4 linked regions of the Drosophila melanogaster genome follow. The protein of the gene in region 3 interacts with the protein of the main gene of each other region in a pairwise test. Each region holds a gene or a part of one and is shown on either strand. Other genes may lie near its edges. The genes, in order: Ubx, ac, E(spl)mgamma-HLH and sc.

Region 1 (5,856 bases), 9.3 Mb from region 3:
GCGACTTTATGCCAAGACAATCGATGCCTCCCTTTTCGGGCTGCGTGGGCGTGGTGGTGGGGGCTTCCATTGTTAAAACGTGTTTACACATCCAGAAGAAAGAAATAAATAAATGCTGCTGCTATTGAGAGATGTTACTAGTTTCTAAGTAAAAAGTTCTTTTTATCTTAATCGTAATTTTGAAATTAATAGGATTGGTGAAAACTCTACAACAAAAACGTTTCCATTTTCTGGAAGAATTAGATTTCTCAGAACTAAAATACATCAATTCATAATCGAGCAGTAACTCGAGCAGCAAACTCGAGAATGCAGAACGGAGGAAAAAACAATCATCGATGTCGAACAAAAACAAAACTGCGGGTTCCAACTTTCTGCAGGAGGAGGAGCTCCTGCAGGAGGTAACGAGAGCAACGAGAGGAGCAGAAGCCACAGAGGGGAACTGGCGCTGCCCCATTGCATACCCCACCATAACGTAGCAAGTTTGAATATACTCGTACCCGTAAGATTCCCGAGTATATTAGGTAGCAAAATTTTTACGAGCTCATTATGGCTCATTTCGGCGATTGTTGTGATCCTTTTATGCGCCTTCGAATGGCTTCAAATGGTTATGAGGCTATTTCTCTGTCATCCCCGCGAGTCCTTCGCACTCGTGTCCTTCCCCTGGGTCCCAAATGCGGGATAGCGAGTTTCTGGGTCCTGGATTCCCGACTCACGATATTTAGTTTGCAGTTGCGACTGCGATTTTTACTTTACTTTTGCTTTGCTCTGGGTCTTCTCGCCTTTTGGCTTCGCTTTTCCTTGGGCTTTTGGTCGCATATTTAGAAAATGTCGCCGCGTCTCCGAATGTGATTCAAGTGTTTGTCAGTGTGTGTGTGTGTGTGTGTATGTGGTGGTGCGTATCTGTGTTTTGTGCAAGTTTTTGTATCTTTCGCTTGTTGTTGATTTTTAAGACTTGGCACCGAAAATTTGGTCGGCGGAAAATGGCGCGAGCAGGGGTTGGAAAAGTAGAAAAGTAAATTTCTTCTTATAATAAGTTTATTTTGCAAACACTTGTGGCAAGCAACTTTGTTTGGTCGCCGTCGGTTTCTGGCTTAATCTACGAGCCGTTTGTGCGAATGTGGAAACTTTGACAAATATTTGCGAAACTTTCGCGAATGGCGCGGCGTTCTCGGTCTGCAAGACCCCGATCTATTTGCATTATGCATATGAATTTATTAGCATCAATTCCCACCATATTTACATTGACATTAATATCCCATTGAAAGTATTGGCGAACGGATTGAACATTTGGATTCGAATGCGAATTTGAATTTGAATAGGAAAAGGAAAACCGCAGCACACAAATTTTCCGGATCCCTGGCTTCTATTACCGTACAATGCCGAGTTGGGGTTGACTTATTATCAATAAACTAATGCTAAACACGAGACTTTTAATAAATAAAAAATAATGTCTTCATTAATATATTATAATTCGTTTTTAAAGGCCTAATAAAGCCTTTAAGTGATAAGTATCTTTTTATGCCATACCACATTGAATTAAGCTTATAGTTTTTGAGGTAAAGGTAAAAACGATTAATTTACTAATATTTTTCTAAATTGTGAAACAATTTATACGATATTTACTTCCATAGAAATTAAATTAATAATTACAATATTCCGACTATTCTAATAAATATATTTTTTAAAACAAAAACTTTTTTGCACTTCGTTGTGTGCAAATTATTCCCCAAAATATTGAACAATTAAATAATGACCAGCTTAAACTGAATAGAATTAGATACAAATAATTTGCGTAAGCCATATTCTAGCACAAAGATTGGGAACTGAAACTGTAGTCATAAGTGCGCTAAAACCGAGCAAATACGGGATGCGCATCGTTTGGCGTGCAACTGGCAACTGGCGGGCAGCCCGTCGAGCGTTTTTCGCCACTCAGTTGAAGGAAAATCAGCCCTCCTCCATGATGAATTTCCCGCGGCGAGCGCATTTTCCTTCCTCGCGAATGAATGAACGAGAGGCGCCCACCCCGATAAACTTAAACTGAACGAACACTCAAGAGAGAGCGCAAGAGCGCTCAAAAACAATCTGGTTTTGAGCGTTTCGCTGGCTCTCTGTTTCTGTTTTCCACTCGTTTTTAGGCCGAGTCGAGTGAGTTGAGTCGGCAGAGCAAAGTCAAAACACTGGCAACTGCGATTTGGTGCCACATTCGTTCGATGGCAACGGATTGGATAACAGGCGCGCGCTTTGTTTTATTATCCACATTATCAGCGGCATTATTGTTATTATTGGCCCTCAGCGCTTTACCGCTCGCCCACGCGTCCGCCCGTGAATGCCGCGCGGAAAAGTCGCTTTCCACTAGATTGGCGTCCAGATTCGAGGAAATCCGTCAGCAGACGCATTCGCGCCCGTTCGGTCAGCACTATGGCTAATAATCGTTCAAATCGTTAAAACCATAAAAATAATAATAATAATTGCAATAACAATAAACATAGTAATAATCGTAACGCTTACGAGCCTTTGATAGTGCCAAGGCAAGCGCAATCCAAGTATTCAAATTCGAATTCAATTAACAGCAAAGTGCAATTGGCTAAAAACCGAAACCAAAACGCAACAAAGTATACGAAACACTTGTGAAACCGTACAAACAATTGTGGAAAAAAATTTAAAGATTATTAAGATTGAAGTCTCAATAAACATTAGTGCTTAAATAAATTTAAAACGACCCGCGTGGAGAGTGCAATAAAAAGAATAACTTTTGAAATAAATATTTACCAAACAGAAAAATATTTTATAAATATTTAAATAAGTGAAAAACAAATTGGTTACTCTGAAACAAAGAAAATTCAAATTGGTGCTAAAACAAAGGAGAAAAAATTTCAAGAATATTTTACAAATAATAAGACATATTTAACTATATAAAACCAAACTTAATCAACAAAGACTTGGAGTGAAAATATAAAATAAATTTTAAAAAGAGTTTAACAAAATTTGTTTAAATCCAAAGGAGGCAAAGGAACAGCACAGAAAGCGAGGAAACACTCAAATAAAATCCGCCAAAAATCGCAGATCCCTGGAAACCAATTCGTGTGAAATCGGTCAAGCCCCCAACGACTTTTAGCCCGTCTCAGACGGAGCACCGCCAAGATTCTTACCGCCAGCAGCGCAATGAACTCGTACTTTGAACAGGCCTCCGGCTTTTATGGCCATCCGCACCAGGCCACCGGAATGGCAATGGGCAGCGGTGGCCACCACGACCAGACGGCCAGTGCAGCGGCGGCCGCGTACAGAGGATTCCCTCTCTCGCTGGGCATGAGTCCCTATGCCAACCACCATCTGCAGCGCACCACCCAGGACTCGCCCTACGATGCCAGCATCACGGCCGCCTGCAACAAGATATACGGCGATGGAGCCGGAGCCTACAAACAGGACTGCCTGAACATCAAGGCGGATGCGGTGAATGGCTACAAAGACATTTGGAACACGGGCGGCTCGAATGGCGGCGGGGGTGGCGGCGGAGGCGGTGGTGGCGGCGGAGCGGGCGGAACAGGTGGAGCCGGCAATGCCAATGGCGGTAATGCGGCCAATGCAAACGGACAGAACAATCCGGCGGGCGGTATGCCCGTTAGACCCTCCGCCTGCACCCCAGATTCCCGAGTGGGCGGCTATTTGGACACGTCGGGCGGCAGTCCCGTTAGCCATCGCGGCGGCAGTGCCGGCGGTAATGTGAGTGTCAGCGGCGGCAACGGCAACGCCGGAGGCGTACAGAGCGGCGTGGGCGTGGCCGGAGCGGGCACTGCCTGGAATGCCAATTGCACCATCTCGGGCGCCGCTGCCCAAACGGCGGCCGCCAGCAGTTTACACCAGGCCAGCAATCACACATTCTACCCCTGGATGGCTATCGCAGGTGAGTGTCCTGAAGATCCGACCAAAAGTGAGTGTCCACTGCAGCACAAGTCCACTGAAAGTCCCCCGAAATCCCATCCCTTCTGTCCTCATCCCTGCAGTGCCAAAGCTTTGTTGTTTTCCCAGTTGTTATCAAGCTCAACAGATTGCAGCTATGGCAACAAAAGTCATCCTGTGATTAATTGCCGTCTCTGCTCCAATTAACAGACAAGTCAACATGTAAGGCAATATAATGAAGAGCTCGAATCGATCATGGGAAAAACAGATAACAACTTGTAATGTAAGACATATGAAAGCAGGCAGAACAGACCTTTTTATGGCAGGTTCTTAGGGAAAAGACACAACACCTTATTGGCAATCAAAAACTTTAAGCGATTTAAAAAAAACAAAAACTAAGAATGTATTATGGTTATAGGAAGCCAAAAAACAGTCCTAGTTAATATTGTGTATATTCAAATTGGCTGAAAAGTTTAGAAAAAAAGATGTGATAATACTTGGTAAAAAAATTAAAAATTTTAATAAAAAATAGTAAAATTATATTCTTCAGAGGAAAAAAATTAGGACAAGTATTTTAGATTTATTAAGTGTTAAAAAGGCAAAAACCCCCTTGGCTAACTCAAAATTATTTTCCAATAATTCTATTTAAAGGCACCCATTTGCGTGGCCATAGTTTATTCGCTGGCCGCCAATTTCAGCGATTTAATCACTCTAAGCGAGATTTTATGGCTGTGATCTCGCTTAGAGTGATTAAATCGAGTGAAGAGCCATGAGTAGCTAAAATAAAAAAATAAAAAAAACCAGCTCAGACCCTTCGATTTCACCTGCTCCGCTCCGCGACACCTTGCAGCGCTACGTCTGCCTCATAATTTTCAACACTTTGTTTACTAATTTTTGTCACCTTTGCTTTTAATGATGCTCGGCGGTAATTGTTGCAGCGCTGGCAGCCCAAGTGAGCTGCAATTTGTGCAACAAGAGAGCGGCAACGAGCAGCGTGAGTTATGGCATGCGGCTTAAAAAGAGCTGCAAAATAGCAACGGAGAAGTCAAGAAATAGCAAAAGGCAGCAAAGGCAGCCACAGGAGTCGGCGAGAAAGGGCAAGAATCCTTTCAGGACACACACTGCGCGCAGAAGTCGCGCTTATTACGGTTAACTACGCCATTATGTAATTACGTTCAGCCCCTCACCGCTCGACTTTTCCACGGGTTTCAGTCACCAGCCGAGCGAGGCGAACGGCTTGCGTCTGGGCCGAGATTGCCGTTTGGGCCAAGAACAAAGCCAAGAGTAGGTCAGCCGAAGGAGGTCTAGGTGCTCGAAGATCGAACGTAAACTGCACTCAAGCTGGCACTAAAGAAATAGGGAAAATAGAGGGCTTACAAGTTATTATTTTCAAATTAAATAAATTGTTAACTTACAAATTATTACTTTTTTTTTAATTGTTCGAAAGACTCAAAAAATTATTTGTATTATCCGCTAATATTTTTTGTCTGTGTATAAAAGGGAGCTTGCAAAATACCCTTCAAAAATCAATCAAATTTCACTTATAGCCAACGCGAAGAGCTGGTTAAAAAACAATTAAAGTTGAACTAAATTCGAGAGCCTTGCGACAGGTTTTCCATCGGATCGATCCGTTCTGCAAGATGATCAGGGTAATGAAATTTATGCGCCGAGCCTGACCAGTCTGAAGTGTCGGTGATGAATTGGCCAGGCCAAGACCAAAGAAACACCATTGCCGAAAACCCTTCATACAGGGTGTCTTGTATAACACTTCCAGTGTGTCAGACAATCTCTGCGAGATATAACATCTTTAGTGGAACATTCCCTCTAAGAAATTCAAATGCATTCTTACCTGAAGATGATCGGACACGTTTACCTGAACATTTCATCTTAAATTTTTTTTCTTATAAGAAAACGAGACGATCTGGCAGTTACGATATTCAGACTGAATGAATTTTTCGA
Region 2 (3,968 bases), on a different chromosome or scaffold from region 3:
TGTAAAAGTATAATATTTATGATTAATAGACAAGAACTAGGTATACAAATTATCAATTTCTATTAGTGTTTTATTGTTGCTAATGAATAGATTGGTGTGTGATGTAGTGATCTAATATGGTGAAGAATTTGCCGAAAAGACCCATGAACCATGTTTCTTTTGTTTTTAGAGTATATGTATCTTGCGTGAGTTTTTTTTGCAGCAGCTTCATCGCGGCGGCTTCCGGTGCAGAATGCCTGAGCAGATCTTATTTTCATTTTTCTGAACGTTGTCGGGGGCGATCTGAACAATTGCCGACCGTTGTTTTTTCGCTTGTTTCGGCTGCATTGCGGGAATAACTCAAAATTAGTTCATTCATCGATCGATCGATCGATCTCTCCGGAATTGTGAATTCTCAGGATCTTATTACCTTGACCGGTTCATATGCAAAAATGCAGCAGGTAAATATTTTGCCTTTTTCACCCTACTCAATCCAACTTTATTTATGCAAATCGGCGTTTTCGATCAAAAGTGTTTACAAAATGTTATTGTAATTTATCTTCATTGGCTAGTGATCTGTAAATACTTAACGGTTACAGTTTCGAATACTTTTTTCGGGCTTACCCCGAATAAAGCGTATACTAGGATCGTTTAAAGGAATGTACCAGGTAAAAGGAAGCGTGTCCTGTGGTATACAGGACAGGATCAAGTTTGTATCAAAACATTGCTACGCCCATATTCATAAAGCATTTGTTCATTAAAACTTTTCTGAATTTTACTCCTTTTGTACATAAATTTGTTTCACTTTAATTACCGTTTAATTTTGTTTACAATAAAAACTCATTTAAAATTTTATATATATCAGTTTAATGTCCTCAATGTATGCTATAAAAAAAAACTTAAATATAAATTGTCTTCCATTAGAAACTATCCTTAGAAACTATATAAAACCTTAAATACTAATTTATAAGGCAAAAAGGTAGTTCTAGGGAATATAAATACTTTGTGGCTGAGGTAATACTTGTTGGCCAATCAATGGTTTGATGTGTGTTATGGTTGGGTGCGACTAGCAATAGCTGAAGATTTGATCTGTTTTTTTACAGGTCGTCCTGCCAGAGTGATATATAGTCGAGGATGTCCTCATCTTCAGTACCAGAACTGCAGGAATTGTTACGGTAGTCTTCAAAACTGGCTTCCAACTTGGTATGAAAATTGTTAGGAGGTGTTGCTCCCGGAATCGTCGATGTTGCTGGCTTGCAATAAGAGCTAATGCTGTTGCAGGAACTTGTGCTGCCAGTTGGAGATTGCAACTGCAACTCTTGGTGCCAGGCGTATAAGTGTTGATGCTGTTGCTGCTGCTGAAAGTGCAAATGTTGCTGCTGCAAATGCAACTGTTTCTGTTTCTGCTGGTCGTTTTCATGAAGAACTTTCTGCAAGCGCCGTATGTACTCTACTGCCATTTTCAGTGTGCTAACTTTGCTCAGTTTTTTATTGGCGCCGGGACCAATTCCCCGGCGACCATTGCTTAAATCGGCTATTACGGCCGCAGGGATATGTTGTCGTAGTTGGCTGAAGCCATTGTTGACCTGCTTTACGCGGTTGCGTTCCCGGGCATTTCTCCGGATAACAGAGGGTCCATTAAAGGCCGAAGATGACTCCTCGTCGTCGTTGAAAACAGAGTGATTTTCGCTGCCCAAAGCCATTTTAAGAGATAGTATAACGTTATTGTGTGACGATGCTCCTTGCTTCAGCGCTGGCTCTGTTCTGATGCCCTTCCCCGTTCCGTTCAGGCTATTTATAGGTATCAGGGCCTAGGGATCCCACCTGCGTGACTACCTACCTGCCCCTGGAAAAGGTGCAACAGCATCATCACTGAAGGATCGTCTCTTGAGATGAGTGTTTTCTCTGATTTTAATAGAGAGGTAGTAATATTATCTCTCGTTCTCTCTGTAAAACGCAGCTGTTGGTGACCTGAGTGTTCCCGTTGTCGAGTGGGAAGAGTTTCTGAGTGTTTTTGCTCATTTTCAGCTGCCTGTCGTCCCCAAACGAAAACCTGGCCCTGTCGCGTGCCGGCTGCCAACCGGTTTAAAAAGGCAACAAGGTCCAGACATCAGAGCCAAGTAAAAACACCTCCGAAGTAAAAAGCTGTATCTCCTATTGAAAGTGGCCATCCAATTTGTATAACTAACAAAATACAACAAAATTAGTGGAATAGACTGTCATTACAATTATAAAAATGGGGACATTTACAATTTATACACTACCAAAAGTGTTTACGAAAAAATAATCTTTAATTAACAAGGCTAGGTATTTTAGACTTTTAAAAAATCTTTAATTTTATGTTAATACATTTAATTTAATTTATTTTATGTACTGATGACCTTCCGATCCCTGGATCATTCGGACATTATCTTAAACACTAGACCATTGTCGCTCGAATCCAAAGTCGTAGGAATTTTCAAGGCCAGCTCATCAACACCTCAGGCGGCGATCCATTCGGTCCTGCAACGAAACCTGATCAGCCGGAGGCACTTTTCTATTAACACTTCTAATGCCCCGGGGCCTTTATGCCCAACGTATCAGTTGTTGTTCCTCTCAGCCGAAAGCATTTTGAAAGCATTTAGGAGGTCCCCATTATTTCTTAAAACCATTGTCAGAATTCTGGTTGCACGCTAGGAAACCGTGCCGAAATAGATTTGTATTGGCACTAACTCACACTGAGCCTCGTTTAACACTTCGTTGCTGTAGCCCCGGGGGATTGCATAGCATTACATGTGAAAAGGACATCACAGGGCATCTAAGCACAGACATACCAGATGTCCAGAGGCTAATAAAATCAAACATATCCGGTCGACCTTGCAAAATCCGTGTTGATGTAATATAAATTTGCCGCGAAGCATTGAGACAAGGTATTCAGTGTCAACCAGGTTTATGAATTTGCAATTTTATTATTATTTTTTGCTTTGAATATCGCTTAGCGCCACAAGTGCTCTTCTTGAGCTTTTCTGCTTGATAACGACTAAATAGTACAATAAATGTTACTAAGACCCTGCGACAGAAAACCGAAAAATCGTGACGGGATAAACTTAAGGGGGGAAGAACTGAGATCTGAATATATGGCGTATCAACCGAATAAAGATGAAGTCGTCATTAATATTGACTCGGTCTGCCGATTACTTGACGTTGTTTCATTTATTCCACACTTCTTAAAGCGGCATGCTTGCGACACAGTAAGGCCTCGATTACAGGACAGCTTCCGTACATTTCAGTACCAATGTTGATCGTACAGGTATTCTAGCCGATAAATGAAAAGTATGTACAAAGTATGTACTCATGTTTATTAGGGTCTTCAAAATTGGGAGCTTAGAACTGTAGAGCCTACGCCTAGGTGCCATTGAATTAAATGTTGCTGCTGAATAAATAAAAAGTCAACTGTCAACTGTTCATGGCCATCAAATTGCCATCCAGAGATTACCGATCTCCGGACGATGAAAGGACGAAAGCCGCCCATGGTTTTGGTTTTGAGTCCCCCAACTTCCCACTCCATATAAATATCTGATTTATGAGAGCAACGCGAATATGTCAACGAAACGATGTCACATCTAAGGTGAGCGTTTTAACGCCGCCAATTCTATTTGGTCGATTTCTTATATCACCACTGGCAATAATATTTATGGCCAGGAGCAAAAGCCAAGCTCCTTTTGAAATTCAACGAAGAAAGATGGCGATTTTTGATTAATTGTAGTGCGAGAGCTTTGATTAATTGCTGGAGGCAAGCGGCTCCAATATAACAATTTGTTTTGGCGTTGCATTAAATCAGAAAGGAAGAAGTTTCTGGCATCATCACGGCGAGATATTGTAAGACCAACACCTTGATAGCCTTTGCTGCCGTATTTATGAGTTGGCTTAAAATTTATGAATGGTCCACGGTTTTGGCCTCGAACATCGAGAGCAGCGAAACACTGTGAGAAAGAAAATACGTTTTTTAT
Region 3 (3,991 bases):
TGCTTCGTTGTGATCGTCGGCGTGTAGGAGCGTTGTGATCGCAGTGCGTGGTGGCAGTTAGGGGAGGATTTCGATTTCGCAAGTGTACGGCACCAGCAGCTACAAAAAGGATCAGCTTACCTTGCGGCAAGATCATTTCTCAAGTGACTACCGTGCAGTGCGGAGCGGCAGCAGCGACATCGCAACATCGCAACTTTATTTACAAACAATCACCACACCAAATCAAAACCCATTATACACAATGGCCGTTCAGGGTCAGAGATTTATGACCAAGACTCAGCATTACCGCAAGGTGACCAAACCCCTCCTGGAGCGCAAAAGACGCGCCCGGATGAACCTGTATCTGGACGAACTCAAGGATCTCATCGTGGACACCATGGATGCGCAGGGCGAACAGGTCAGCAAGCTGGAGAAAGCTGACATCTTAGAGCTCACCGTCAACTATCTGAAAGCGCAACAGCAGCAGCGAGTGGCCAATCCTCAATCCCCACCACCCGACCAAGTTAACCTGGACAAATTTCGGGCCGGATACACCCAGGCTGCCTACGAGGTCTCGCACATATTCTCTACGGTTCCCGGCTTGGATCTCAAATTCGGCACCCACCTGATGAAGCAATTGGGTCACCAGCTCAAGGACATGAAACAGGAAGAAGAAATCATCGATATGGCCGAAGAACCAGTTAATCTAGCCGACCAAAAACGTTCAAAGTCTCCGCGAGAAGAGGATATTCATCATGGCGAAGAAGTCTGGCGCCCCTGGTGAAGGGCATTCCATATATACGCAACCAATTAACATTGATAGCTTTACTACTCAGTTTCATTAAGAAACAATCCAAGTTTTCCAAGGTCTAGTGTAAACATTTGCCTCAGAATCGTATTTAGTTGGTAGTTGATTTGATATGATGTGATGTTCCTGTGATAGTTCTTAAGTTCGTATTTTGTATTTGATCTCCCATAGGCTTACTGATTCATGTATTTAATTCATTGTAATTTATTTCATCAACTTTGCAAGAGCTTCCCCACCGAGCTTCCACTTAGCCTCATTAAGAACAAATTTTTGTGTATGTTTTAAAATTATATTTTTCGCTTTACACCATTAAGTATAAGCCATGAACATTTGAATAATAAAATGAACGTAAACTGAAATTTTAAAAGCTTTATATTATTTGGAATATGAACATAAACAAGGTTGCTATAATCCATAGGTACATAGGTACAAAATGTTATAATATATATAATTATTATATTATAATTATAATTTATAAGCTCTTATTTAGCTTTCTTCGATATAAAAGATATATCAGATATATTTAAATATATTTCTAAAATCTAATTTGAAATATATAGAAAATATATATTTTCCTTGGAATTTTAATAATTTATAATTCTAAATACCAAATACCGTTATACTGTCCACTTGAATTCAAGTCAATTGAACTCTCCCCACTCCGTTTACAAATCCCTGTAATGCACCACCCATCCAACCATCCATCCATTACAAAGGTCCTGGAACGCGAGCAACTTACAGCCGAAAGTGTGTCCACAGCGAGCCACACGCGAGCAGCGCTCCAGGATCAGCATCGCTGGCCCCTTTTACATGGCGGATGGAGGGAGAGGCAGAGGTCCTGCCGGGTCGGGGGGATCGGGAAGTCGTACACGCATTAAGCGCACTCGACGCACACGAGCAATGTTCCCACAGGATCATAACAGCCGACCAACAAGTGCAGGATGCCTCTGTCCTTGTCCCTTCCTCTGCCACCAAACACGAACCCGATCCAATTTGGAATGCCAACGGTAAACAGGAAGTTGTCGAGGAATCGCAACGCCTCGTCCTTATCCTTATCCCCATCCCCCGGCGGAGGTCCCCGCTATCGTGGGAACCCCGGAGGACCCCGATGAGATGGCATAATGCAAGCAGTTCATTATCCTTATGCCCCTCACCCTGCCATGCCATAGTCAAATCATAACACACAAATCTAGAAACGGCAGCTGTTCGCTCTGCAAATTCCCATGCCCATGGCCGTGGCCATGCTCGGCTGCTTTTTGCGGGCAGGTGAGCGAGTCGATGTGAGAAACCGAGTAGGAAAGTGTTTCCCACGATCCTGGCAGCGATCCTGCTCCCTGGCCCGTTTGATAAGGGTGCCGGGGCCAACAATAAGAAATCGCCCGAACAATAAGGAGCGGTCTCAAGAAGCGGAAGGGTCGGTACCGAGCAACCCTCATGCCAGCACACGAAGCGTGTCCCCGTCCCTTTTGCTCCTCGAATGCCAGCACACACGACGACGACGACGATCCCTTTGGCCCATTTTTTGGGGGTTGTTTCTGGCCAGCTATATAAGGCCGATCACCGAAGGTCTAGCAACACACAACGACTTCGACTGTCGGAGCAGCAAGAGCTCAAAGAACTCAGCTTACATCGAAACTACAAAAAGAACAATAAGAAACACACAAAATGTCGTCGCTACAAATGTCCGAGATGTCCAAGACCTATCAGTACCGCAAGGTGATGAAGCCCATGCTGGAGAGGAAGCGTCGTGCCAGAATCAACAAGTGCCTGGACGAGCTAAAGGATCTTATGGTTGCCACCTTGGAGTCCGAGGGCGAGCACGTCACCCGTTTGGAGAAAGCCGATATCCTGGAACTTACCGTCACCCATTTGCAAAAGATGAAGCAGCAGCGTCAGCACAAGCGGGCTTCCGGCGATGAGAGCTTGACTCCGGCGGAGGGCTTCCGTTCCGGCTACATCCATGCCGTCAATGAGGTCTCCCGTTCACTCTCCCAGCTGCCCGGCATGAATGTCAGCCTAGGCACTCAGCTAATGACCCACCTGGGACAGCGCCTCAATCAGATCCAGCCAGCAGAAAAGGAAGTCTTGCCGGTGACCGCTCCACTCTCCGTGCACATCGCCAATCGGGATGCCTACTCCGTGCCCATTTCGCCAATCTCCAGCTACGCCGGCAGTCCCAACTCCAATACCAGTTCGACCAGCCATTCCCTGTTGACCACCATCGATGTGACCAAGATGGAGGACGACAGCGAGGACGAGGAGAACGTCTGGCGTCCCTGGTAGATAGGATTACTTCACACCACAACTGAAAAAAAAAAAAACGAAGGAGAGATCATAGAAAGTAAAAGTCTTCCGAGTCACTGGATTTCCACCAGTCGACTCCCACCTAGTTATAAGTAAACACCATAAACACACAAAGCTTTAGATGAGGACGCGCAGTTCATGTGATAACTAAATAAATAATAAATTATATAGCTAAAATTGAAAGATCACGACTTTTTCTGCCACTATCTAGTGACTCACATGCAAATTGCTCAGACACTCCCATGTCCAGACAGTTTCCAATTGTCTGCGGTCTAGAACGGAAACGCTAGAAACGCAATAGCACCTCTCTCTGTCCCCTGTAACTATTCGATCGCCCCACGGATGCACATACACGATCGTCGGACAAAAGAAAGCGAAAACAATGCCAAGGCCGAAACAAGAAGAATTAGGCAGAAGAACGAGAGAAGAAAGAAGTCCAAAGTCCAAAGCCGGGGCTACCGATACCGGGACATAGCCTATAGGCCAGTTGGTGGTTGCAACTCCAACACGTGTGCGGACAATAAGCGAAGGTAACAGAAAATATTAGAGTCTTATCTTTGAGCGTATCTAATCGAGTTACGACAATGTCGCTCAGACTTAGAAGAAAACAAATGGGCATAGAGCCGGCAAGGAACCCGAAAAAAAAACCGAAAACCAAAAAAGGGATCGAGTCATCATTCATCCCGCATCCGTCCTGATTTCGCTTTGTTCTCCTCAATTTTTTGTTGCCGTGATTCTCCCTGGCCACTCGGATAGAAAATCGTGTGCACAATGGTCAAGGTAAGCTATGGGCACATAATTGCTTCGGATCAGGTAAATGACTGCCTTGCCCTAGGGCAACTTTAAGATGGAGGAGCTCCAGCCGGGGACAGGATATCGGTTTTTTTGTTGTTTCTTTTT
Region 4 (4,552 bases), on a different chromosome or scaffold from region 3:
GAAAGTTCTTCCGGAGCTGAACGTTAAGCCTTGCCTACAGAGTCTCGCAAAAGAAAATAATGGTATTCCAGAACCCATTTTCATGATTCGAAACAATTGCATTGAGTTGTCAAGTGTCAGCGTTGACATTGAAAGAAAAGATCCCCTATCCCTTATCACTTCCTTTGGAGCATCCAGCGATCCTAAGGACAATGAGGTCCTTTGTCTGTGATGCCCTTTAATGTGTCAAAATATAGTCTATAGTCGCATTCTCCCATGCGTTTGTTTTTCTAATGCAACGTGATTTATTGTCTGGCCAGTGGAAGAGGTTTATTCCAACGGACTGACATCTCAACGGTGCGTGGGAGTGAAGAACTTAGTTATTGTTTGGGGTAAGGTGTTTGCATTTAACTTTTTCAGAAGTGTAAAAAGTGGGTAAAATACTTTTTTGTAAGGCCGTACATTATAGGGAATACTAGGAACTATAGTTAAGCTGAGCAAATTCAAAAGAAAAAGTCTTAAAAGTGTTGATCGGGTTAAAACTACCTCACTTTATATATTTAAGTAGTAATGTATACATAAATACGAACTCCTCTTATATTGAATAAATTGTAAATTGCTTTTTCGACACTTTTCCTTTTTTAAGTTCAATATCTGATCTGAATTTCAAAGTCGTAATTGTAAAACTAGTAACCTTTTAAACTAGTAACCTCGTGGCACGTGTCACAGGTGTCATCGTCTTACCTGCGATAATTTGACATTCTTAGAAACTACCTGAAGAAATAGGAAACTACTGGTCTAAAACCAAATACTGATCTATGTTTTGCGTTATCTGTAATTCGTATTAATGATTTTTGGATATAAGAGTGATTTTGTAAAACCAATGCAAAGCAACCTTAATTGTACATAACGGCTGCACATGGTCCCATCGGCACTGCAAGGCAATGCAAGTAGTACCCGAATGTTTTACAAACCTGATCAATAGATGGATCCCCTTTGAGAAAAGAACTTAAATATGATTTTTCGTTTAATTTTTTCATTTTATTTTTCCACCAAAAACTAATTAACATAAAATTGTATTAGCAAAAAAATATGTTTTCGTTTCCATGCTATAGTTATTTCATAAATATATAAATTTGAAACTGGTCTCGTGGTTCTTAACAATGTAAAAAAATAGCTTAAAGTAAGAAAAAAAAATTGGGGGTATGTTGTTTTTGTATTAGTGTTATTTACAATTTGAGGCACTTGGTTCAACTCAACATTGACTAGAAGAAAATAGGGCGTGGTGGTAAATTTTGGGGATTAAGTCACTGCTCCTGCCATAGAGAGATGTAGTCCAAAATCTCCTCGTCGTCGGGGGTGCAGTCCTCCTCGTCTAATTGAAAATGTTCGTACGGTTCAAATTTTAGCTGAAGTTGGGAGTGCGTGTGTAATTCGTTGTCCAGATGATCCAGACGATCCAGGTGGGTGGATATTTGTTGGGGAACTCCTTCGTAGGTGCCTGAATCAAAGGACATGCTGGAGTTGAATGATGATGTTGGCGAGTGGCAGGTTTGCTGGTTTTTGCTGGTGGATACGCATCCTGCATCTCCACCTGGTACGGATGTGCCCACCAAGTTGGTATTTAATGAGAGCGCTGTCAGCGGTTGGTGATTGAACTGCTGCCTCTGTAGCTGCTGCTGTTGTTGCAGAGGACTGACAGAGATCGTGTTTTGATAGTAGGTATTATGCCCTGAGGAACTGCAAGTACTGCTGCTCGAACTGTGACTGCTGGACTCATCCAAACAAAGTTGAAGCTGGGTGACTGCATTGTTGGCACCAATATTGCTGCCCCCATTTAGGTCATCCACCAGATCCTGAAGCCTCCGGATGTACTCGACGGCAATGCGCAGTGTGTCTACTTTGGAGATCTTTTTGTGAGGTCCTCGACCACCACCCTTTGTCAAATCCGTGATTATGGATTGTGGTATATGTTGCCGCAACCTGGCGAAGCTGTTGTTCACCTGCTTTACACGATTTCGTTCTCTAGCATTGCGCCTTTGGACCGACTGGGATTGGTCTACATTATATGGAGCCGGCGAGGAACCAGGCGATAGAGATGATACTGATTCAGAGCATCTGGTCAGTGCCATACCCCTTGGTGTATACTTGCGAGTCTTAATTGGCATTGTGCCAGCGGGTTGATTTTGATTGCCACCGGGAATTAATGGACTAGGGGCTGGCATTATGTGCTGATAACGAAAGATCTTCGTTGCCGAATTGATGGTCGTTGGAAACGTTTCGTTGGTGGACAGCACACTCGATGACATGGTAGTGCTTTTCGTTGTATTATTATTATTTTTCATTAACACACTCGGAGCTTTCTTTAACTTTCCGGATAACGATCAACAGAAAAAAATAAATGAACAGAGTACAATACTTGAACTTGATCGTTTGACACCTTACACAAGAATGAGTCCCTTCGTCCTAAACCCTCGCGTTATGTACCCTTTATGCAACTCTCTGCACAACACTCAGGCAGAGAAACGGGCGAGAGAATCGGAGAGAAAGAGAGAGAGAGAGTGACGGCAAGAGCTACCTGCACAGGTAGGGAACTCGAAGTGAGTGAGCCACAGGTAGTCTCTCTCTCTTTCTCTGTCTCAGGTACTCGAGTATCCCACAGGAAAACTGTTCTCACTCGACAGTCCAAAAGAAACACTCAAATTTTAAACTCAAAATATCAACTCGAAATATCGAAAAACGATCAAGGTATCTGAGTGAGGGCTCTTTTTGCTACGGCACGCCAGCAATTTGATTTCTGTGTTAATTAACTTAGCAAAAGTCGCGATCGCCAATTTTATGTGCAGCTCACGCACGCTTCTATTCATTAGCGCCGGACGGATCCAAGGGATCGACAGAAGATCCTGGGATCCTCCTTATTAGACATTCGGAGTACGCTCCCTAAAGGTGTTCAAACAATTTCACTTATTTCTCCAATTAAATTATCAAAAGGATCACAATTTTTTGTTAAGTAAATCAAAGGGATGTGACACAAGTTCTAGAAGGAAGTTTGCAGTGAAAACTGCGGTTCTTTGTTTGTGGCTACTTGTGTTTTTTCTAGAACTACTGGGATGTTGCTTTAAATATATTAATTTGTTTGGGAATAATTTAGTTCTGGGTTTGATTAAATGTTCACACATTTGACTTTTAACGGTGTATACTTGTTATTTGTTCTATTACATAATGCGGTCTAAGGTAAAGAAATACTAGACATACATGAAGTTTCATACATCTTCTTTGAAATAATAAATTGATTATTTCAGACTGTTGTAACTTGCCATTGGCCACTGTGTCGTGCTAAACGGCGACTGTAAATTGTAACTTCCGCTCTGTTCACAAAAATCGGTTCATTTTGTCACGATCATCAATCGATGAGCGAGTGAAAAGATGCCAAATCGGCGACCAGGTGTAATATTTTTATTGTCCTCAACTCGTTACCCTCGTTTGCTTCTGCCAGCATTTTTCTTTTGCCAAATCATCAGCAATAGCACTTCTTCACTTCTATTTGGCAAATTTTAGATCCCCGGATCCCAAAATCAAAAACCGAATCCGAAACCAAAACCAAAGCGAAAACCGAAATCCTGATAACAAAAAAACCTTTTCAACCATGACCAGCAAACGGCGCTTCTCTGTGTTGTTCCTATAAATAAAATCCTTTCACCATTTCCAATACCTTTTTTGCATGCTGAACTTCGCTTGGAGTCTCCACTCTTTAGTTTTTGCATTGTAACGGAGGGATCGGTAGTTGGTTTCCATTATTTTACCATCATTAACACTATCATTGTTCTTGAGTGTTGCAGAAATTTTGGCAGCACAATGTTCTATTTAAATTTTCGCATTTTCCAAAATTCCATTGAAGCATTTTAATAAATGGTTGGGAGAAATGCCGGTGACATGCCTAGAATAGGGTTGAAGTCGTCATTAGAAACTCCACTCAGTGAACTGTGTGATCTATGGTGTATGCGGACATTTAACTGAAGTGGAATGCATATAATGCATATACGCGATCCTTTTTTCCTTGAAGCGGAGAGTCATAAGCAAGGTTGGTATAATCGCGTGTTCGGTACAATTGATTAATCATAGGTCCAATTCCGGTCACCGCTTGCATGTAAATGCCACTCATACCTTGAACAAGCATTGGATATTACCTTCAAAATTATAGTACCTAGTGTAGGAATCTTTTAATTTTGAATGATTTAAATTTTATATTTCATAAATGCTTCATTTCCTTTAGTATATAATATTGTTAATTTAACTCTATCTTTGTGGAAGTCTTTTATATATTTTCGGAAACTTAATAATGTTTTTTTTATTATTTCGAAAGACTTGTTCTTCAGGAAAACCATCAGAAAGCAAGTTAAGTAACCTTTCGATGTTGTCCCGACAACCAGTAAACATTTTTTTCGGACTACCTTGTTTATATCCTTTTTCCAGACGCAACGCTTGGAGGATTTAAATGCGTAATTACTTTGATATGAAGCATAGTTCCGGACCGCGAAAACGGGAAATGGAAAGGACTCAAAAGTGTAAGCGA

The links.
Region 1: the proteins of E(spl)mgamma-HLH (region 3) and Ubx interact in a protein complementation assay, tested with the Drosophila melanogaster proteins (one study listed by BioGRID).
Region 2: the proteins of E(spl)mgamma-HLH (region 3) and ac interact in binary tests that used the Drosophila melanogaster proteins (3 or more experiments, as listed by UniProt).
Region 4: the proteins of E(spl)mgamma-HLH (region 3) and sc interact in a two-hybrid assay, tested with the Drosophila melanogaster proteins (3 studies listed by BioGRID).

Annotation. Positions count from the first base shown.
Region 1 is NT_033777.3:16,730,770-16,736,625, reverse strand, and holds the start of Ubx (ultrabithorax), read left to right. Parts: upstream 1-2,199; 5' UTR 2,200-3,162; coding exon 3,163-3,928; intron 3,929-5,856. UniProt on the Drosophila melanogaster protein: Sequence-specific transcription factor which is part of a developmental regulatory system that provides cells with specific positional identities on the anterior-posterior axis. Binds the consensus region 5'-TTAAT[GT][GA]-3'.
Region 2 is NC_004354.4:367,808-371,775, reverse strand, and holds ac (achaete), read right to left. Parts: upstream 1,746-3,968; 5' UTR 1,683-1,745; coding exon 1,077-1,682; 3' UTR 829-1,076; downstream 1-828. UniProt on the Drosophila melanogaster protein: AS-C proteins are involved in the determination of the neuronal precursors in the peripheral nervous system and the central nervous system.
Region 3 is NT_033777.3:25,997,491-26,001,481, forward strand, and holds E(spl)mgamma-HLH (enhancer of split mgamma, helix-loop-helix), read left to right. Parts: upstream 1-2,360; 5' UTR 2,361-2,452; coding exon 2,453-3,070; 3' UTR 3,071-3,271; downstream 3,272-3,991. Other genes in the region: E(spl)mdelta-HLH (enhancer of split mdelta, helix-loop-helix), read left to right, coding at 242-763. UniProt on the Drosophila melanogaster protein: Transcriptional repressor of genes that require a bHLH protein for their transcription. May serve as a transcriptional regulator of the Achaete-scute complex (AS-C) genes. Contributes to the neural-epidermal lineage decision during early neurogenesis.
Region 4 is NC_004354.4:393,949-398,500, reverse strand, and holds sc (scute), read right to left. Parts: upstream 2,442-4,552; 5' UTR 2,325-2,441; coding exon 1,287-2,324; 3' UTR 1,004-1,286; downstream 1-1,003. UniProt on the Drosophila melanogaster protein: AS-C proteins are involved in the determination of the neuronal precursors in the peripheral nervous system and the central nervous system. Also involved in sex determination and dosage compensation.